3 linked regions of the Cricetulus griseus genome follow. The protein of the gene in region 2 interacts with the protein of the main gene of each other region in a pairwise test. Links are inferred from orthologs where the notes say so. Each region holds a gene or a part of one and is shown on either strand. Other genes may lie near its edges.

The links.
Region 1: the proteins of Nfe2l2 (region 2) and Mafg interact in binary tests that used the Homo sapiens proteins (3 or more experiments, as listed by UniProt). The link is inferred for Cricetulus griseus from reciprocal best matches to the Homo sapiens genes NFE2L2 and MAFG.
Region 3: the proteins of Nfe2l2 (region 2) and Maff interact in binary tests that used the Homo sapiens proteins (3 or more experiments, as listed by UniProt). The link is inferred for Cricetulus griseus from reciprocal best matches to the Homo sapiens genes NFE2L2 and MAFF.

Annotation. Positions count from the first base shown.
Region 1 is NC_048600.1:133,123,799-133,130,044, forward strand, and holds the start of Mafg (transcription factor MafG), read right to left. Parts: upstream 4,069-6,246; 5' UTR 4,051-4,068; coding exon 3,904-4,050; intron 1,833-3,903; exon of another isoform or gene 1,341-1,832; intron 1,285-1,340; exon of another isoform or gene 907-1,284; intron 885-906; exon of another isoform or gene 837-884; intron 737-836; coding exon 674-736; intron 588-673; coding exon 135-587; 3' UTR 1-134. UniProt on the Homo sapiens protein: Since they lack a putative transactivation domain, the small Mafs behave as transcriptional repressors when they dimerize among themselves.
Region 2 is NC_048599.1:99,367,013-99,373,247, forward strand, and holds the start of Nfe2l2 (nuclear factor erythroid 2-related factor 2), read left to right. Parts: upstream 1-2,445; 5' UTR 2,446-2,641; coding exon 2,642-2,686; intron 2,687-3,566; exon of another isoform or gene 3,567-3,717; intron 3,718-6,235.
Region 3 is NC_048595.1:376,526,344-376,532,453, forward strand, and holds the start of Maff (transcription factor MafF), read left to right. Parts: upstream 1-2,042; 5' UTR 2,043-2,277; coding exon 2,278-2,330; intron 2,331-6,110. UniProt on the Homo sapiens protein: Since they lack a putative transactivation domain, the small Mafs behave as transcriptional repressors when they dimerize among themselves.

The DNA of each region.
Region 1 (6,246 bases), on a different chromosome or scaffold from region 2:
GTTGTGCTTTGCAGGGAAGGAAAGGGGAAAGGGAGGGGGAAGAAAGGGAACAGGAAAGGAAGAGGGACAGGGCTGCCAACTTTGCCACGCACTCAGTGGCCCCTAAAGACTGCCTGGCCACTGCACGGTGAGTCCTATGACCGAGCATCTGTTTTGGACTTTACTATTGTAATGACGCTGGTGGCAGCCACCTTGCCAGGGACCAAAGGCCCCAGGCCAGCAGCAAGGGGACCCCGAGCTGGGGCCACAGGGCTGCGGGCCACGGTCCTGGCAAAGTTCTGCAGGGCCTCATACTTGGAGCGCAGGGCGTCAAGCTCCAGCTTCATGCTGGCGTTTTCGGAGGCCAGCTTCTCCACTTCCTGCTGCAGCTCCGCCTTCTGCTTCTCCAGCTCCTCCTTCTGGGTCACACGCTTCACTCTGCAGCTGGCTGCGTAGCCGCGGTTCTTAAGTGTGCGCCGGCGCTGCTTCAGCTGGATGATCTCTTCCTTGGACAGGCCTCTCAGGTGCTGGTTCAGCTCTCGAACCGACATGGTCACCAGCTCCTCATCAGTCAGGCTGGTGCCATTCTCACCCGGCTCCCGCTTCACCTGGAGGAGAATTCACAGGGTCACGGGGTCACGGCAGAGCAGGAAGGCCCACCCCATCACACCCCGAGCCCAGGTTCCCCACTCACCTTCAAGGCCTTGTTTCCTTTATTGGGGGTCGTCATAACCCGGGGGCACAATGAGCAGGCACTCTGCAAGACACAGAGCACAGGTCAGGACCCTGTAGACCCCCTTTACACCCCAACAGGAAGCTTGCTGTCCGGTGCTCAGCCCACTGAACCTTGCCCTCACCTGACCTGAGCTGGGCTGCTTCAGAAGGCCCTTTCCCTAGAAAGACAGGTGGGAGATGGGGAGGCTTTACCCAGGGAAGAGCCAGCTGTGTGAAGGCAGAAGACAAAGGGAGCAGAGAGAGATTAGAAGGTCTGGGCTGCAGGAGGGGCAAGCCTAGAAGGAAGCTGAGCTTTAAAAATAACCCCAGCACTGCCCCAGAGCACACTGTTCCTGGCGAGTCACGCTGACTCAGCACATCGCCTCCCTCTCTTCCTGAGCCGCTCTCCCATTCCTAAGGCCAGCCAACAGTTCCCCAGGAGACCCACTACTGGGACCAACGGCAGGCAAGGGTCAGTCAAGGACCCTGTACTGCAGGGTCCTACTTTCCATGTATTTGTCCCTAAGCTTGCCCAGGACAAAAGAAAGCCCTTTCTCCCTCTAGGACTTAGGAGGCTGCTTCCTGCCTCATTTTGGCAGAGGACCAACCAGGTTTGCTCTAACTGTGCTGACTGGGAATCCTCTCACCTTCCAGGTAGCAGGCAATCCAGCTGGGAGGAGCTGAGCCCAGGCCCCTCCAGTCCTCCCTGTCCACCTCCTTAACAGATGGAGTAACCATCCTGTGGCTTGGTTGCGGCATCCTGTGCTCCTGCCCCACCCGATACTGGGTGTTTCACAAGGGCCCCCACAATTAACAGAGGGAGGGCACTGTTAGCTGGTAACAGGCAAGAGCCAGCCCCTTTTGGGTCACTGGCTAGTCTCTGGCTCTCTGCCTAGGGTCAGTGACCACAGGGCCAGGGAACAAAAGCACAACAGCTACCTTCTACGGTCAGCTACCCTCTGGCACTTTTTAAAATTTCTGATTTCTAAAGCCTTGCCAAGAACATTTTTGTATACCCAGGCTGGGAATCCCCCACTTAGCCCAGCACCATGGCTACAGATGCAGGGAAATGGAAGGAACTGCAGGAGAGGTTGTTGCAGTGTCTTCCAGGGGAGGCTGAAGGCTGTAAGCACTTTAGGCAACAATGTGTCGGGGTGGGGGGTGGGGGGTGGGGGTGGGGGGTGGGGGTGAGGAGTGGGGGTGGGGAGTGGGGGGGTGCTTCTTAACACTTATCAAAAGAACTAAAGTGTGAGCCAGGGAGGTAGAGGCTCCTGTTCTCATCTGAGCAAAGACCCTACTACTCTCAGTCTTGCACAGGACGTGCTAAGCACAGAAGCTGGAGACACTTCTCCAGGGCCAGATTAAGAGCATTTTCAGAGGCAAGAGTCCCGTTAGATCAAAGAGAAAGAAGTCAGGGCTAGGGGTCTGAAGAGGAGCTGCCTTTCTTAGAAGGTGGCCCCCGGCTCACACCAGGAGCACAAGAAAAGGTGAGAGAGGCAGCCCTAGCAGGAGCTTTTTTCACACAGACTGCAGACTTCCCGCGATTGCACAGGGAAGTGCAGTGTGTGGTAGCTGGGAGCTGAAAAGTGCCTCCTCAACAGATTTTCCCCTCTGCTGAAGGCCTGATCAGCACAAGTGCAGCCAACTGCCTCCTGGTCAAAGGTGTGTGTGTGTGTGTGTGTGTGTGTAAGGTGTGTGTGTGTGTGTGTGTGAGTGTGAAAGGTGTGTGTGTGTGTGTGAAAGGTGTGTGTGTGAAAGGTGTGTGTGTGTGAAAGGTGTGTGTGAAAGGTGTGTGTGTGTGTGAAAGGTGTGTGTGTAAGGTGTGTGTGTGTGTAAGGTGTGTGTGTGTGTAAGGTGTGTGTGTGTGAAAGGTGTGTGTGTAAGGTGTGTGTGTGTGTGTAAGGTGTGTGTGTGTAAGGTGTGTGTGTGTGTAAGGTGTGTGTGTGTAAGGTGTGTGTGTGTGTAAGGTGTGTGTGTGAAAGGTGTGTGTGTGTGTAAGGTGTGTGTGTGTGTGTAAGGTGTGTGTGTGTGTGTGTGTGAAAGGTGTGTGTGTGTGCTCGCCCGTGCTTGTGCATGCTTAAGCGGGGAGGGAGAGCAGGTCTCAGCAAAGCTAGTGTTTCCAGCTGCCTGCCTAGCTCCTGCCAACCTAGGGTCACACGGTGACAAGGCAGACAGCTTTGGGGGACAGCTGTCCTGAGGTATAGTTCAGAGCCTGAGGAAGCTGCTCAGAGAAGCTGCTCAAGGCCAGCTTGCCCCCCAGCTCTGCTCTCCTCCAAATACTCTCAGAGCAGACATCTGGACACTAGTCTCAAGCAAGACAGTGGCCCTTCCTCAACCTTTCGGGCAAACTCCAGTGCACGAGGCCCAAACTCAGGTCTCCCCTACCCCAGATACTGACAGTATTTGAAAACAACTTAAATGTCACAGAAGCATAGTGACTCCAAAGTTTAAACACCTCTCTGGGATCTTGAATTTTCATAGGGCACAAAGTTCCACCCTAAACGAAACACCTGGCACCTACGAGCATTCTCAGGGCTCAGTGTAGTAAGTGCGGATGGGAAGTCTCTAAGCCTAACCCCAAGGTCAGCTTAAGCTAGCCATGAAACCCCGGGCAAGGAAAGCAATGCGGAATAGAGCTCGGGACCCTTCACAGCAAGAGAAATCAGTAAACATCCACGCAGCCATGCAAAGGTGGGGGCCACACCCCACACAGGCTGTCATCAGGTCAGCCTCCCAACAGGGCACACACACTTTTTGCTAACTTCGGGCGACAGTGGGACCCCAAACTCTTCTGACAGGGATAAAGGAGAGGTAAATGAGAAAGAACTACGTTCTCCACTCCATGCTCGCACCTCAAAACTTCCACCGGGTACCATCCACGCTTCCCTCCCATTAGCTGGCAGAGCTGCCCCGGCTTCCTCAAGCCACACAACCCTTCTGTCCTGACTCCCGGTCTTTTCGGTGCAAGGCCGACGCCGCCCGGCCAGCCAGGGTCACTCAGAAGGAAAGCCTCCTTCCCAGACAAGCGGGCTCGGCCCACCTAGGCTCCTCCCCTCAGCGTACTCCGATCGGTCTCCCAGTTTGGGGAGCTGGACCAGGAGCCCCAGAGCCTAGGGGGATGCGTAAGCCCGGGGCTCTACCTTCCACCCCGCGAGGAACCCGCGGCGCACCCCGGTGATGCGTCCCTCGAGGCCTTTGCCTCCAACTCACAGGTCCGATAAACTTAAACACGACCCCCGGCTCCTGGCCCGACCTTCGCCGCCCGGATCGAGCCCTGCCGCCCGCTCGGACTGCCCGAGAGCCGGCCTGGGCCCCCCGCCCCGGGCCCGCGTCAGCAGGAGCACCGAGTGACCTCATGCTGATGACTCAGCACGTCTCCGCTGGGCTCGCACGCGCGTGGCGAGCCCAAGCCGCTCAGCGGGGTCTCCCCGCCGCCGCCGCCGCCCCTGCCCCTGCCCGCCCGGCCCCGCCCGCGCGGAAGCCGACAGACACCTGATGAGTCAGCAGCTCGGTGCGGCCGCCCCGCTGACCCGGGCAGACGCGCCGACCTCGCCCTTTAATCGCGCCCCCCGCGGGGCGCCCGGGGGTCCGTCGCGCGCACGCCCGGCGCTCCCAGCCTCGCCTCGCCCGGCCCACAGCCCGGGGGTGGCACCGGCGAGCCGCCGGCTTCCGACCGCCTGGCGCAGAAACCGGGGCCCGCGCCGCCGTCGCACGGTGCGCCGCAGCCCCGAGGCCAGGCCCCGCCCCGCCGCCCGCCCGCCGCTCGCCCGCCCGCCCCAGCCCCCGCACTCACCACACTGCGGGCCCCGGCGGGCCGAGGCGGGGCTGGGGCGGGGCCGCGCGCGCTCCGAGGCTGCGCGGGGCTGGGGCGGGCGCGAAGGGTCCGGGCCGCGGGCTTGGGGCGACTGGGCGCTCGCGCGGGCCGGGCCGAGCGCGCTGGGAAGGCCGGGCCGGACCGGGTCAGAATCCGCCACCGCCGCCGCCGCCGCCGCCGCCGCCGCCGCTCCTCAGACGTCACATGATGTTTGGTCACGTGGGCTCCATTCATGAAGCGGCGACGCGGCCGGCCCGAGCTTAAAGGGAAAGGCGCGGCGACGGCGAGGCGAGCGCGCCCCAGCACGCCTGCGCAGCCCGGCGCCGTCGTCCCGGCAACCCGCCGCGCCCAGCGGACGTCTCGCGGGACTCGCGCGGCGCCCTCCGCGTGCCGAGCTCTCCGCGGCGCGGACACCGGTGGCTCCGGTTCCCCCCGGGTCTCCTCGCCTGCTCGGGCCGAGGTCGGAGGGCAGGTTTGCCCGTGTTGCCGCGTCCACCGGCACGCGGGGTTTTCTCGGGACAGCGAGCGCACCCTGGCTTGGGGTTCCGGGCGATGCCCCCGCCTCTGCCTCCCGGAGTCGCCGCGCCACGCGGGGCCCCCGCCCGCCGTGCTGATGATGTGACACGGTTGCGGAGCTTCTTACCGCATCCTGTTGCGATGCCCCCTCGTTCCCGAGTGGGTCAGAGAGCTGGGAAGGCCCAGCCCACACCCCGGCCCGCGCCCCCAAACGCCCGACTGGCACTGGGGCTTCGCGGTGCGCGCTGATGGTCCCGATCCCGTTGCGGTGCAGCGTCTAATAAAAAGTGAAAAAGCGGGAGAGTTTCAGGTCTTTCTACGTGGCCCTCCCTTCTCAGGTGGAAAGCGGGCTGGGGATGGGTTTGTGTGTGTTCTTCCTGTTCAGTGCCACTGGGTAGCGGATGGACGTGTGGCACAGGCTAAGCCAGGATCCTCCAGTCCGTTCCGCCAGCCTCCAGGAATTTGTTTGGGGATCTCACACCTCAGTTTATTGTCACTGCCTGTCCTGTAGGGCCAAAAGTAGTTCTTAACATTGTATTTCTTAGGGGAGTGTGTGTGTGGGTGGGGTCTTTATCTCTCGCTGGGTGTAGCTAGAGTCTCAGGGTACAGTGTGGCTTGTGTGAATGTAGACTTACTCCCTATGCCCTCAGGGTTTCTGTTGTCTTCATCCTCCTTTCCTTTGTTTTTTTGTTGTAGTTGTAAGACAGGGTCTCACTCTGCAGCCTCGGCTGGCTTAAGCTCAGCAGCAACCCTCCTGCTTCAGCCTCCCGAGTTCTGACGGTACAGGCACGAGCTTCCTCCCACGCGCTCCTTGTTTGCCCTTATTTATGAAGATAAGTCTTACTCTCTTGCTCAGACTAGCTTCAAACTCTTGGACTCAAGAGTAACTGGGGCTTGCTGGGCTGTGGTGGTGTACTCCTTTAATCCCAGCACTGGGGTAAGGGTGGGGGGTCAGAGGCAGGTGGATCTTTGAGTTCGAGACTAGCCTGGTCTAAAAATCGGGTCCAAGACAGCCAGGGCTACACAGGGAAACCAATCTTGAAAAACAACAACAACAAAAAGTAACTGGGACTCCAGGCATGCACTGGGATCAGGAAGCCCTCAAGCTCTTTTTTACCCCCCAATGTTAGGGGTCAAACCCAGGATATTAGACATACTAACACACACACACACACACACAATGTTAGGGGTCAAACCCAGGATATTAGACATACTAACGCACG
Region 2 (6,235 bases):
CTTCCATGTATATCTGCACATCAGAAGAGGGCACCAGATCTCATAGAGAATGGTTGTGAGCCACCATGTGGTTGCTGGGACTCAGGACCTTTGGAAGAGCAGTGCTCTTAACCTCCGAGCCATCTCTCCAGCACTGATATCTGTCAGTTTTAAGTGCCAATGCTTTCAACCAAATTGTTTCTGGCATGAGTATACTGCTAATGTGTCTAAAATTTATGTTTTCACAAACTCAAAGAACTCTTGTTACATTCCATCGAGCCTAATTGGACCCACCCAAACAGGTCAGATTCACTCCAAATAAATATTATTCAACCTTTCCCTGGTCCTGTGACTCCCTTCCCTCATCTTGGGGACCTCCCCAACCCCTTCCTCATCTTATGATCCTCCTCCCCTCAAGTACCAAAACCTAAGAAAAAAAAAATTCTTAAACTTTGTATTCTGCTCTGCCAACAGCTTGCCAGGTCTAAGAGGTACCAGAGAGTTCCATACAGCTTGGACTGTGATGAAACAACCAGCTACCCCAGGACATGGCAGCGTCCCAGCTTTCTTGGGTCCCCCAAAGATAGTCAACACCCCCCAGATCATCAGGAAGTAGTCTTGAGAACTTGATGTCCTTATTCTCTAACCAGCCATGCCTAACACCTCACCTTTTTAATGATAAGTAAAGGTGGGAATGAAAAGATGCAGGCATTATGCTGGCCTGCCCCTGTCACCTGGCAGAATGCACTCAGGCAGTACCCCTGGTCAGCCCAGGGTTCCATGAGTATTGGTCTGCACACAGGTGCAAAGGACCCCTTTAAAAGACAGACCCCAGCTCACTTAGACTCTCTTGCTCTCTTTCTGCTCTCTTCCATCTCTTCTCTTTCCATTCTCCTCTCTTTCTGCTCCTGTCTTCCTCTTCTGTCATCTGTGTCACTGTGTCTCTTTACCTCTTTTCTCTTTCCTTCCCCCTCCCTCCCCTTTCTAATAAAACCTCTCACTCAAGCTCTATCTGCCTGGCGTGTTTGTCTCGACGTCCATGGAATCCACCATGCCCTCCCCCACCCCCTGCAGGACCCCCTTCCTACTTTATCCTAGCATTTGAAGCAAAAGAACAACAATTAACACATTAGTGAACGCCCCTCGATTTTTTTCTAGGCCCTTTACGATCTGTTTTATAGATTGGATTTTTTTTTTCAGGGGCTAGGGAAGTATGTTTGGGAATGGACATTGTAAAAACAATCACCATCTCGGACAACAGAACCTAGTGGCATAGCCTATATTGGAGCCATGGGTCGTGACCCCTTTGGGGATGGATCAACTTTCACAGAGGTCACATTTCAGATATCAAATATTTACATTGTGATACATAACAGCAAAATTACAGTTATAAAGTAGCAGCAAAAGTAATTTTATGGTTTAGGGTCACAAGAGAAACTGTACTAAATGGTAGTAGCATTAGGAAGGTTGAGAACCACTGCTATATACCAGCCTTTGGGAGGTGGAGGCAGGAGGATAAGGAGCTCAAAACCACCCAGGTTTCATGAGACCCTATCTCAAAGTTCCAAAATAAAATCGTAAAAAAGAGGGGGAACTGTATCATGAGGATCCACACCTGTGAAGGATGCTATTTGTTGTGTGGCTGCTTCCTGTGTGTTCTGGGTGAACGACCCACACACTCCTTCAGCTCTGGCCGCTAGATGCGGGCACGTGGGAGAAATAGAGGGCGTTCACTTAAGTTTGCAATGTGGACGCATCTCCCTGGGGCAGAGCTGTCCCGCACCAGCATGAGCAGGACAGGGGGACAGAGAGCAGTTGGCTGTCTGCACAGTCCCTGCCCAGAGCCCCCACCCCCGGCTGGCGCCACAGTCAGCCGGTGGGGCGAGATAAAGCGGGCAAGGTTCTGCGGATCCGAATCAGGGAGGCGCAGCTCCGATAGCAGCGCCCGGGATGGGCTCCCGGTGTGTTTGCTCCAACTGTTTAAACTGCTTCAAAGCGCCAGAGCCCCAGCGACCTTCAGCAAACAGCTGCTAATCTCTAGCCAGGGAGAGCTGTCCCAGCGAGGACTCGGGCAGCCCAGGGCCTCTCGCCCGCACTCCGCCCCCGTGGGACCACGGCCACGCCCGGACCACCGCTAGAGGATGGTCATCAGCGGAGGCCGAGGGGAATACAGCAACTCTTGCCGGAAGCCCTCAGGCCCTTGACCCGCCCCTCTGGTCCCAGCCTTGTCCCTTTACCCTTGCCCCGCCCTAGGGCAAGCCCTCTGGCCCTTGCCCCGCCCCTCCGGCCCCTCTAAGTACCTTTACTCTCGCTCCGCCCTTCGCCATGTCTTCGGACCCTTTCCCTGCCCAGGACCCTTGCACGACTCCAGGCTCTTGCCCCGCCCCCAGTCCCTTGCCCCGCCCCCGGGCCCTCGCCGGGGACTCTAGCCCTTGCCTCTCGCTCCAGCCCTCACTCCGCCCTTAAGTTCCTGTCGCTTCCCCAGGTCCTTGTTCCGCCCCCAGGGGGCGGGGGGCGGAGCGGACTGAGACTGGCCGGACACTCAAGCGAGCCGGCTGTCTGCTGGATCCCGGCAGCTCCGTCGAGTCACTGCCGCCGCCGCACCTCGGCAGCCAACGTAGCGTCGCCGTCGGGGATCCTCAGTGCAGCGTTCGTCCTCAGCATGATGGACTTGGAGTTGCCGCCGCCAGGACTACAGTCCCAGCAGGTGCTGCCCCGGCCCTTGGGCTTATCGGCTGTGCCAGGAAGCAGACGGGAGCTCGAGGGGACAGTGGTCCCGGGAGGGAGGGACAGTCTGAACCCAGACTGCGACAGCCCGACCTGGGAGCTGCCCCCCGCCGGGCCGGGAAGGCAACGGGGGTGTTGGGGCAGCGATGAGAGTAGGGACCGAGCCTGAGGTCCCCGGGGGCACTGGGGTTGGGGTGTGGAGGAAGCTCGGGCTTGGTGGGGCCAGAGGGCATCAACACCACCTCGCTGGGTCGGATGCTCAGAGGCGGCGGGAGGGGGCGGACGCTGGCTGTCTTCGCCGGCGCAGCCCGGCCCTTTCCGGGCTTGCGTAGTTTCCCAGATTCGGTGCCGGTAAAAATGTGCCTAGTCACGGGGCCGTGCTCGGGGGAGCTGAGGTCTCCTCGGCGACCGCCCCGGAGACTGCTTCCCTCCCCTGGCCGCGACCTCCAGCGCGGCTGCCAAGCCCCCTTGGCCGTCTGTGGTTTTCTCAGCCCGAGAGCTCGTCGTCTGTAGGATCATGCCAGTCCGGCTTGATCTAGAAAAGCCCAGCCCTCTGGGGGCGGAAGAGAAAGTCACCGGGTGACCCTCGTGCTCAGGTGCCCCGACGGGCAGGGCTCCTCGCGCTTCCTCAGCCCGGGAATCCGGCATTGGCCTCACATCAGGCGAGGACTTGAGGACCTGGGCGGGCTCAGAGGCCCTAGGCAGCCGCACGCGGGGCTGTGTGTTCTGAGCGTCGTGACTCGCGGGGCCCCCACACTGTGTATGTGTGCGTGGCTGTGGCCTCCGGGTGGGTGACAGCGGCCGGTTGGCAGTCACGGAGGCCCTCGGTTGGCCCTTTCCTGCTTTATAGCGTGCAAACCTCGCTGCTCTGGGGCCAAGGGACAAGTTGGAGCTGTTGATCTGTTGCGCAATTGTTATTTTCCCCTGGGCGGCTTTGTCTTTGGATTTAGCATTGCAGAATTGCAGTCCCAGAATGTGTAAAGCAGGATATTCTGTTCCTTGCCGTCAAGGGTAAGAGTTGTAGATTAGAATTTGTTGCTTTTTATATTGACGATGAAGTTTTTGCGTTTAGCTATTATCCCTCCCTTGTGTCTTTAGTACATTTTTCCTTAGTGTTTGAGATTTTTTGCCTCCTCGATTTCTTAGCACATTGTGAACTTTTATGAACAGAGAGGATGGGACGCTTTCGTTTCATAACCCCTTGTTGATAAGTTTTGAAGATTGTTATGTAAGTGAAAATCAGTTTTTGGTCATACTTCTGGCACTTTTAAAGAAGTAAATGCTTATGTTGCCATTGTGTTGTACTTGGATTTTTAGGAAAAGGGAATGTGTAACTTGGTAAACAGAAAGTTAATTTAAATGTTAAATCGCTGACCCTGAAGGGCCTGATGTAAGCTTTTAGTTACTGACAGTGCATTAATTCTACTCCCTCTCTTGAACTTTCCCCCAGAAATGATTGGGGTTGTAGCTGGTTTTCATTAGGATGAATAAGTAAACTGTACTTTCTGATCTTCTGTTCTTCATTAGTAATCAAAAGGAATGCTTGTCTGGCCACAGGATACATGATACAAACGAACTTTGATTTTAAAGTTTTCTTCTTTTTTCTGTGTAGCATGTAGCATAACATTTCATGTACAAAAATGGCAGATGTACTGCTTTCTCCTCCATGTGAAAGTTTTCTTTGCCAACAACATTTCTTGTTATTTCCAGACAGCAACTTTGAAAAACAGAATTAAAAATTATAATTCATCTTAAAATCATTGTTTGGTAGTCCAGAAGGATTTGAACTGAGTTACAGATTTGAGCAAATGGTTGTGTTGTTGTAGGATAATGGTTTTAACTGCTCAATGACTCTTCATCTCAGGGGGAAAGCCATCCATTACTCTTTTCAGTGGTGTCTTGGAAAGATAAAAGTTGATGAAGTTGATATTGAAGATGAAGTTGATATTGAACGAGACAGATAAGCTTATTTTTAAACGTTAGACACAGAGAAAGTGGACAAGCCTTTCCTCTGGAATGAATGTTAAGCAAGACCAACTTGACTTTTTAGATATATGGAACATCTCTGAGACGTTACAGAAACCAAATGTGGATTGATAAATACACGACCACATCAGTCTTTCTATCTTAAAAATAACTAAGGCAGTGGCTGGGGAGATGGCTCAGTGGTTAAGAGCACTGTCTGTTCATCCAGAGGACCCAGGTTCAATTCCCAGCACCCACACAACAGCTCCCAACTATCTGTAACTCCAGTTCCAGGGTATCCAACACCCTCATACAAACATCCATGCAGGCAAAAACACAATGCATAAGAATAAAAAAAAATAAATGACTAAAAAAAATAATTAGGGCCATTTTGAAATTTCATTTATATTAACTTGGGTCCTTAAAAACAATGCTGGGGGAACAATCCTCTTTTAGGATTACCGGTGAGAGTTGAAAGCCAGATACGTGGTTCTTCTTAATGTTCATTTTTATTTAGGATGAGTTATGCTAAGCAAAGCTGCAGGAGAAAGGAGCACTTGAGCAGTTACCTTTATTTCTAGATGTTTCCTTCATCGTGATTGAGCATATTTAAAAGGTTTTCATAAATCTATCTTCTTACTTTTTCCTTGAACCAGGGTTAGCTTGAGGATGTAGGAAGAATTTGGAACTTAGATACTAACTTACCTAGATAGTAGGTAAGTAAGTGGATACTCCTTTGCAAGCCAAGCAATATGGTAATTGCCTCTTATGTATAATTTCTCAGTACCCCCATGGGGAACACTTTTTATCTTCAGTTTTCAGGTTAGGAGAGAGGCCAAGATGACTCCTCCAACTGTTCCATGTTGAAGATAGAATTCAAACTTAGCCTGACTTCTTGGGCTCTGAATCTCTACTTCCAAACTGGACCAAAGGGAACTTGAAGCAGGTCCACAAAGCTTCAAGTGGGTTGTTTAAAAAACAACAACAGAAAACCAAACCAGGGAGGAGAGGCTGGGATGATAAAAAGGTATTATCTGCACCTTCCTCTCTTACCAAGGAAGTTAATAACCATTGAGAGGGAGTGGATCCTTTCAAGACAGCAGCGTGGGGAAACCGGTAACTGGATGGTGCCTGTGGTCCTGTCCAGGAAGACACAGAAGCAGGAGGCCTAGGCAGCTTTCATTTGGAGAGGCAGGATGTTTTTTTCCTGTAATTATCATTTTTAAAGCAATGTCCCAGAGTCTGCTTCACATTTTCCAGTGACCATTTTCCCTTTTTCTTAATTAAATCTTGTAGCTGCCTGGATCTTAGCCTTTGTTTGCCTTTGTTTACACTCTCCTGTATTTATTTTGGGGTGGTGATCAAAATTCCATTTAGTAAGTAGGGTATGTTGTACAGTGTGGCCAACAGGGTTGAACTAGTTTGATGGAAACTGGATTTGGGATTGGGGAACAGTGAGTTGAAAACAGCTAGCAGAAACCTGTTAGCTCAAACTGGACACTAATCCTCTGTCTTGGCACCTGTCCATTGAAACCAGCATCAAGAGCTCAAGCCTATTTGGTGA
Region 3 (6,110 bases), on a different chromosome or scaffold from region 2:
CTCCTCTTGAGGGATTTCCATGCTTTGTTTCTATTTATTTCTATCAGGGTAAACTCAACAATTCTCACTTAATAGGTTACGATCCATTACTGCTCTATTTAAACGCCCAAGTTGTCCCAGATTTAGCTAGTCAGAGCTGCCTCAAGCCAGAGAGCCCTGCCCCACTTTTTTTTTTTTCTTACAGGAAGGCAATTTATTAACAGAAAACAACCTGAGAAGTCCTGTCCACAGACAGTGACCACAGCGACCTTCTTTCCTGTGGGGGCTGTTTGAGGGGATGGAGGTCACATCCTCAATCAGCCTGATCCTTCATTCCAAGTGAGCAGGAACTCTGAGGACTGACAGGTTCTGGAGTCGTAGTCTTGTTTCCTCCTGTGGCCCACAGTTTGGTAGACAGGATAACAGTGCCCAGTCCTTGAAGCCGACATGACAGCATATGGGGAGCTTTCACCTTCACCCCACCAGTCCTTCTTGGCAATGGTTTCCTTACCAGAAAGATCAGTGACACTGACAAAGGTGTCACTGAAAGATGCAAAGATGTGAGAGATACCAAATAATTCTCTCCTCCAACCACCTGAGCTCTGAGGTGGAAGACCTATTCTTCATCATTTGCCTTTGCCTTGCAGCGTACTTTTTTTTTTTTTTTTTTTTTGAGTCCTCTTGGGTCTCTGCCACTGGAAGGAGAGTGTGAGAAGGCCAAGCCCACTTTTAAATGTGACAGTGCACAACATGGTTTGACCATTACCAAAACAAGATCAACCTCTATGGGCATCGGGGTGTGGATATGAAGCCTTCCTTACTCCTTGGTGCTCTTAGGCTGGGGATGAGGCCAAAGGCTCTAACCACATGGAGTCCCCACGTGTCGTATGGTCTACCGGATTCCTTCACTAGTTGAGCACCTATTTGCCAGGCATGGCCTCAGCTCTTTAAAAGGTAGGAAAGTGGGGGTGAACAGGAGAGACAGCTCATGACTGTGTGCTTCTAGAGTTTGAGAACATTAGTTCAGAGGCCAGACTTTAAACAATTCTTATTTATAACTTTTATATGTAGCTTAAACTCATTTGTTGTGTGTCTGTGTGTGAGTGCATACATGCCACTGTAAGTATGTGGCGGTCAGAGGACAGCCTTCAGGAGTCGGTTGTATCCTTCCATGTGTAAATTGTGGGACCAAACTCCAATTGTCAGAGTTAGTGACAGGCACTTTTACCCACATGGTGGAGGCAGGAATCACTTGGGCAAGTGGAGGCACAGTTGAAGATCCAGGTCCCATAGGTACAAACAGAAACGGCATTTAAAACCACGAGACTGGATGAGCTCATCCGGGCAAAGGGTGTCGATCGAAGAGAGAAGAGTCCAGTGAACTGTAAAGTGAAGCGACATCTCCCCTGCCACTCTCGAGAGGTGTCACGTGAATGCATCCAGAGGACAAAGTCTGGAGGCTACTGAGAACCCAGGAAGCTCTGGCTGTGGGCCCCTAGAGCGGGGCCCACTAGGGGCGGGGTCTCACTTTGGCTGTGGGCGTGGCCTTGGCTCGGGCCGCAGCTCTGGGACCGGCCAGCGGCCGGGGCGATGACGTCAGTGCATGACTGGGTTTTTATGAATGAAAGGAATCCTGTGCGTGAGTAATTCCGGGAAGCTCGCCTTACAACTGCGCGCGGCTCCGGCCCCCTGCGCCGCCCGCCTCATAACAAAACTCCGAGCGGCGCTACGCGGAGCCGGGTTCCTAGTGAACCGCGGTCCCAGTTGGAGAGGAGTGGGGCTTGAGAGCGGCCTGGGACCGCCACCGCGACAGCTGCGGGGACAGCTGCGACAAGCGCGCACGTAGAGTCGGGCCTGGCAGAGAGAGGTAAGGACGCGTCAGGGACCGGGACCGCGCCTGGGGTGAGCGCTCCGGGTTGTGCCTGGGCCGCGCTGTGGGCGCCCCCGTGCATCTGCCCGCCGAGGGGCCTCCGAGGGGCTGGCTGGGGGACGGTTCGCGGGCCCCGGAGGAAGCCGGGGCGGGGCGGGGGGCGGGAGGCGGGGCGGGGCGTGCACGTACGTGACTCGGTGAGAACAGTCCTGGAGCCCGGCCCAGCACCGTGTGTGCGCGGTTTGTTTACGTCCCCCGGCAGCGGGGCGTGCGCGTGTGTTCTCTGGGGAGCGCCCTGGGTCCCACGGGCTGAGCGCGCACGGGGTACCTCTGGGTGTGTGTGTTTGTCTTTGGCCGCGCGCGCTCCCTGGAGACTGACACTAACCCGGTGTACCTTGAAGTGTGTGCACCGGTGTCCACTGGAGCAAATGCGGAATAAGGACCCGAGTGAAGGAAGTGGCCCAGTCGATGGTTACACCAGGTCTGGAATTTTTTTTTTCTCTCCCTCCTCCCCACCCTCCGCTATCCTCTCACTTCCCACCAGCCGGTACTGCCCGGCCCCAGTTGTCTCCGGAGTTTCCCCTGGTTGGAGCCATGTGACATCAGTGTTTGTTCCTCGCCCAGTGCGGGTGCCTGCAGCTTTAGGTAGAGCAGAAGTGAGCGAGCCAGCCAGCCGTCTCCTGGCCATCTGGTGTACCTGGTAACGAAGTACGTGGAAGTCCCTCTTTAGCCCCAGGTTTTCTGGCTCTGTATGGACTGTTCATCTCTGGACTGTCCCATTCCTCCGGTCCCAGGAGAAATAGAGAAGGCCAGAAAGGCCTTGGCAAAGATTGGGGAAGGCAAGGCTCCCAGGCTACAGTGGCTAGCCTAATCTGGATGTCTGAGGCTGCACCTGCTGGGTCCTGAAGGATGGAGTGAGGCTAATAGCCACACTTCTGGTAGTTTCAGTTCTCAGATGGAACTCGTTAGACTGGACCCCAGGACACACCTAGAGTCCACCCTGAACCAGCAAGATCAGCCGGCAGTATAACCCCTGGTCCTCCTTCGGGAAGGGTTAATGTGGGAGGGGAGCACAGCAAGAAAACACCTGCTTAGGCCAGCAACCTGAAGGACTGCTGGTTCCCGGAACACCATGGTCATACTCAAACTTTCCCTACTTGAGCGTTCTGGAATCCAAGGAGGTGGCAACTAAGCTTGTTAGGGGGCGGAATCAATGATACTTCAACTTTGAGCCAGTGAGTTCTGCTATCACTGTGAGAACTGCAGTGTCCCACCCCCATCTGCGGCAGGGTGGCAGGAGAGCTTAGTCCCTGGCAGCTGCAATGCACAGCCTGTTTACCAGGGGAAACTGGGAAGGCAGAGCCAACCCCAAGGCCTGCAAATGGAGTTGTGTGTAGAGTGGGTGGTTGAGGGGGCTGCAGCCAGGACCCTAGGATTTAGGTGGGTCCATCCTCAAAACTGATCAAGAAACACTCTCCAGTGGGGCTGGGGGGTTAGTGGTGAGGGGAAGTGGCTAACTGGCTCACTGACAGAGGGAAACTTAGCATGGAGAGATTCTGTTTCTCCTTGATCCCCAGGGGTCCATTAGAACCCAGGACCCCTAGGTAATGCCCCCCTTTTTAATGAGTGTCTGGTGCCAGCAGAGGTCAGAAGAGGGTCTTGGGTCCCTCAGAATTGTAGTTACCGATGGTTTTGAGCTATCATGTGGGTGCTGGGAACTAAATTTGGGTCCTCTGCAGGGGCAACAAGTGCTCTTAATCACTGGGCCATCTGTCCAGCTTACCTATTTTTTAAGGGAGGATTTATTTTGGCTCATAGTGTGAAGGGATGGGTATGTACTCACTGCAATAGGAAGGCCTGGTGAGAGCTGCTCACCTATGGCTGTGGTAGTGTGGGCTGCTGGCTCCCCTCTCACTGCACTGGGAAGCTTTGCTGACACTTAGCCTTTGCACAATGGCTGGGCTAGATGCTTAGGGTTGTAGTAAACAGACAGATCCACGGACCACATTCTGGGAAGGGGCCATGAAGGGGAAGTTACTTTGGCCTAAGTAGTAATAGGGCTCCTACTTAGCCAGGGTGATCATGGAAGTCTTCCCTGTGGAGGTGGCTAGGGAGTAGAGTTTGATGGTGCTGTGATTCTGGAACCCAGAGGACAAGGGCTGTGATTCCTTTTTGGCCATTCAGGACTCAACACAGGGCCTGGCACACAGTAGGTGCTTCTTGGATATGTGGATAGTTGAAGAAATGGGCAATGGGTCCATATCCCTGAGCTCCAGGGAAACAGAAAGCAAGACTGTGAACTGTAGGAGTCTTGCAGGAATTTCCCCCAAAATGAGCAGGTGGTGCAGGTAGCTTCTTCTTTCACACACAGAGCTGTGTTCCTTTTGGCCAATAGTCATTAGGAAATCCAATCTGCTCATTTGTTACTTATTAGCAAAAAGAATGCTGGGAGAGTGAAGTGAACATGTTATCAGCTGGGGGCTCCTTTGTGGGCTGGGACAGCTGAGAGCATGGGCTCTGTGGTTTTGATATTTTTTTCTAAAGATTGATCTAAAGTTCATTTTTATTTACATAGGTGTTTGTGCCTTAGTGAATTGATGTGTGCCATATGTGTGCAGATGGCTGTGGAGGCCAGAGGGTGTCAGATCCCTGGAACTGTAGTTACAGGTGGATATGATCCACTTGACTTGGTATTAAGGCCAGAACCAGGGTCCTCTGCAAAAGCAGCAGGTGCTCTTAACCACAGAGCCATCTCTCCAGCCCTATTTTTGTTTTTGTCTTATGTAGCCTGAGCTGGCTTTGAACTTCTGGTCTTTCTATTTCTGCCTCTTGAGGGCTGCCATCATGATGTATATGACCACACCTAACTAGCACAAGGACTTGAAACATGCCAAACATGGTCAAGTTTGTAGGTTTGTGCCTCTAGTGACCCTTTGATGCTATTGGAGATGGAGGTTGGGGCAGAGGAGGGAGTAAGGCAGTGGTGAGGCCACTGTGGTCTTGGTCTGGCTGGAAGAGGAAGTGGCCCCTAGCTGTGCAGGTGGAGGAGAAAGGAGGTCAGGGCTCATAGCCTGGCTGCTTATGCTGTCATGCTTCTGCCTCCAGGAAGCCTTCCCTGGTTTCTTTTCCTTTCCTCCAGTGTCTCCACCCTGCTGGAGGCTTTGGAGCTTTCCACTGGGCCTGAATCTGACAGAATAAACTCGGACATTGCCATTGTCGGGAGGTTGGGCACGTTGAGAAATCCAGGCCCAGAGAAAGGGAGTGACAACCTGAAGTCACACGGTGAGAGTGTGGGTAGCAGAATGGGGCTGGAACCCAGGCTGCTGCTCCCCACACTGCTCAGTTCCCAGTCTTGAGCCCTTCCAGCAGGGAGGAGGCGCCCCGTGCTTACTGCCAAGACCCAGGCAAACACATTTTTTCCCTCTGTCCTCACCAAGTAAGCAGTATGGCTCAGCAGCCAGAGAGGAGCCCATGCCAGTGGGTGGGCCGTCTACAGGATGTCTCGGGTGTACAGCTGAGGGGCCAGAGATGGGGACAGGAAGGCCATGGCCCCTGGCTGGTCAGCCGTCATGTCCTCAAGAATGAGCTCACTCCTGGGTCTCCAAAGAATACTAGGAACCTCAGATCTGGAGTTGGCCCTACTGGCTTCCCCAGGAAGAAGAAAAGCCTCAAGGGTGGGGTCCCTGATCAGGCAGACTAGTGGCAGTGGAGTCTCCTTGCCTTGTGTCCTACAAACTGGGGCCTGCTGCTAGAAGCAAAAGGCCAAAGGTGATGGGAAAATTTTCCCCCTTCTCATGTTGGGACATTCACTCTGTGACTGTGACTGCTGAGTTAGGACATTCCTGGGCAAATGTGGGCCTCCATGGAATTTGAGGATGCCACTGAGGGGCCTGAGGCTAGAATGGTGGTTGATGGGATGGAGGAGAAAGGGCAGGTGCCAGCCTTCCTTGGGTAGAGCATTCATTCATTCCTAGGGTAGAGCATGGTTGCAGTCCCACCTCTTGGGGGGGCTGGATGTGTTGAGGATTCTGAGGCCATGTGAAGGTTCAGTGGAAAACTGAGGCTTTGGGTGTTTGGTTTGGCTTTGTTTTCTGAGACAGGCTTTCTCTGTGTAGCCCTGCCTGTCCTGGAACTCTCTCTGTAGACCAGCCTGGCCTCAAACTCAGAGACCCACCTGCCTCTACCTCCCGGGTGCTGGGATTAACGGCATGTGCTACCTGAAGTTTTGAAAGATTCAGGAGCTGTTATCATCTCACTGGAA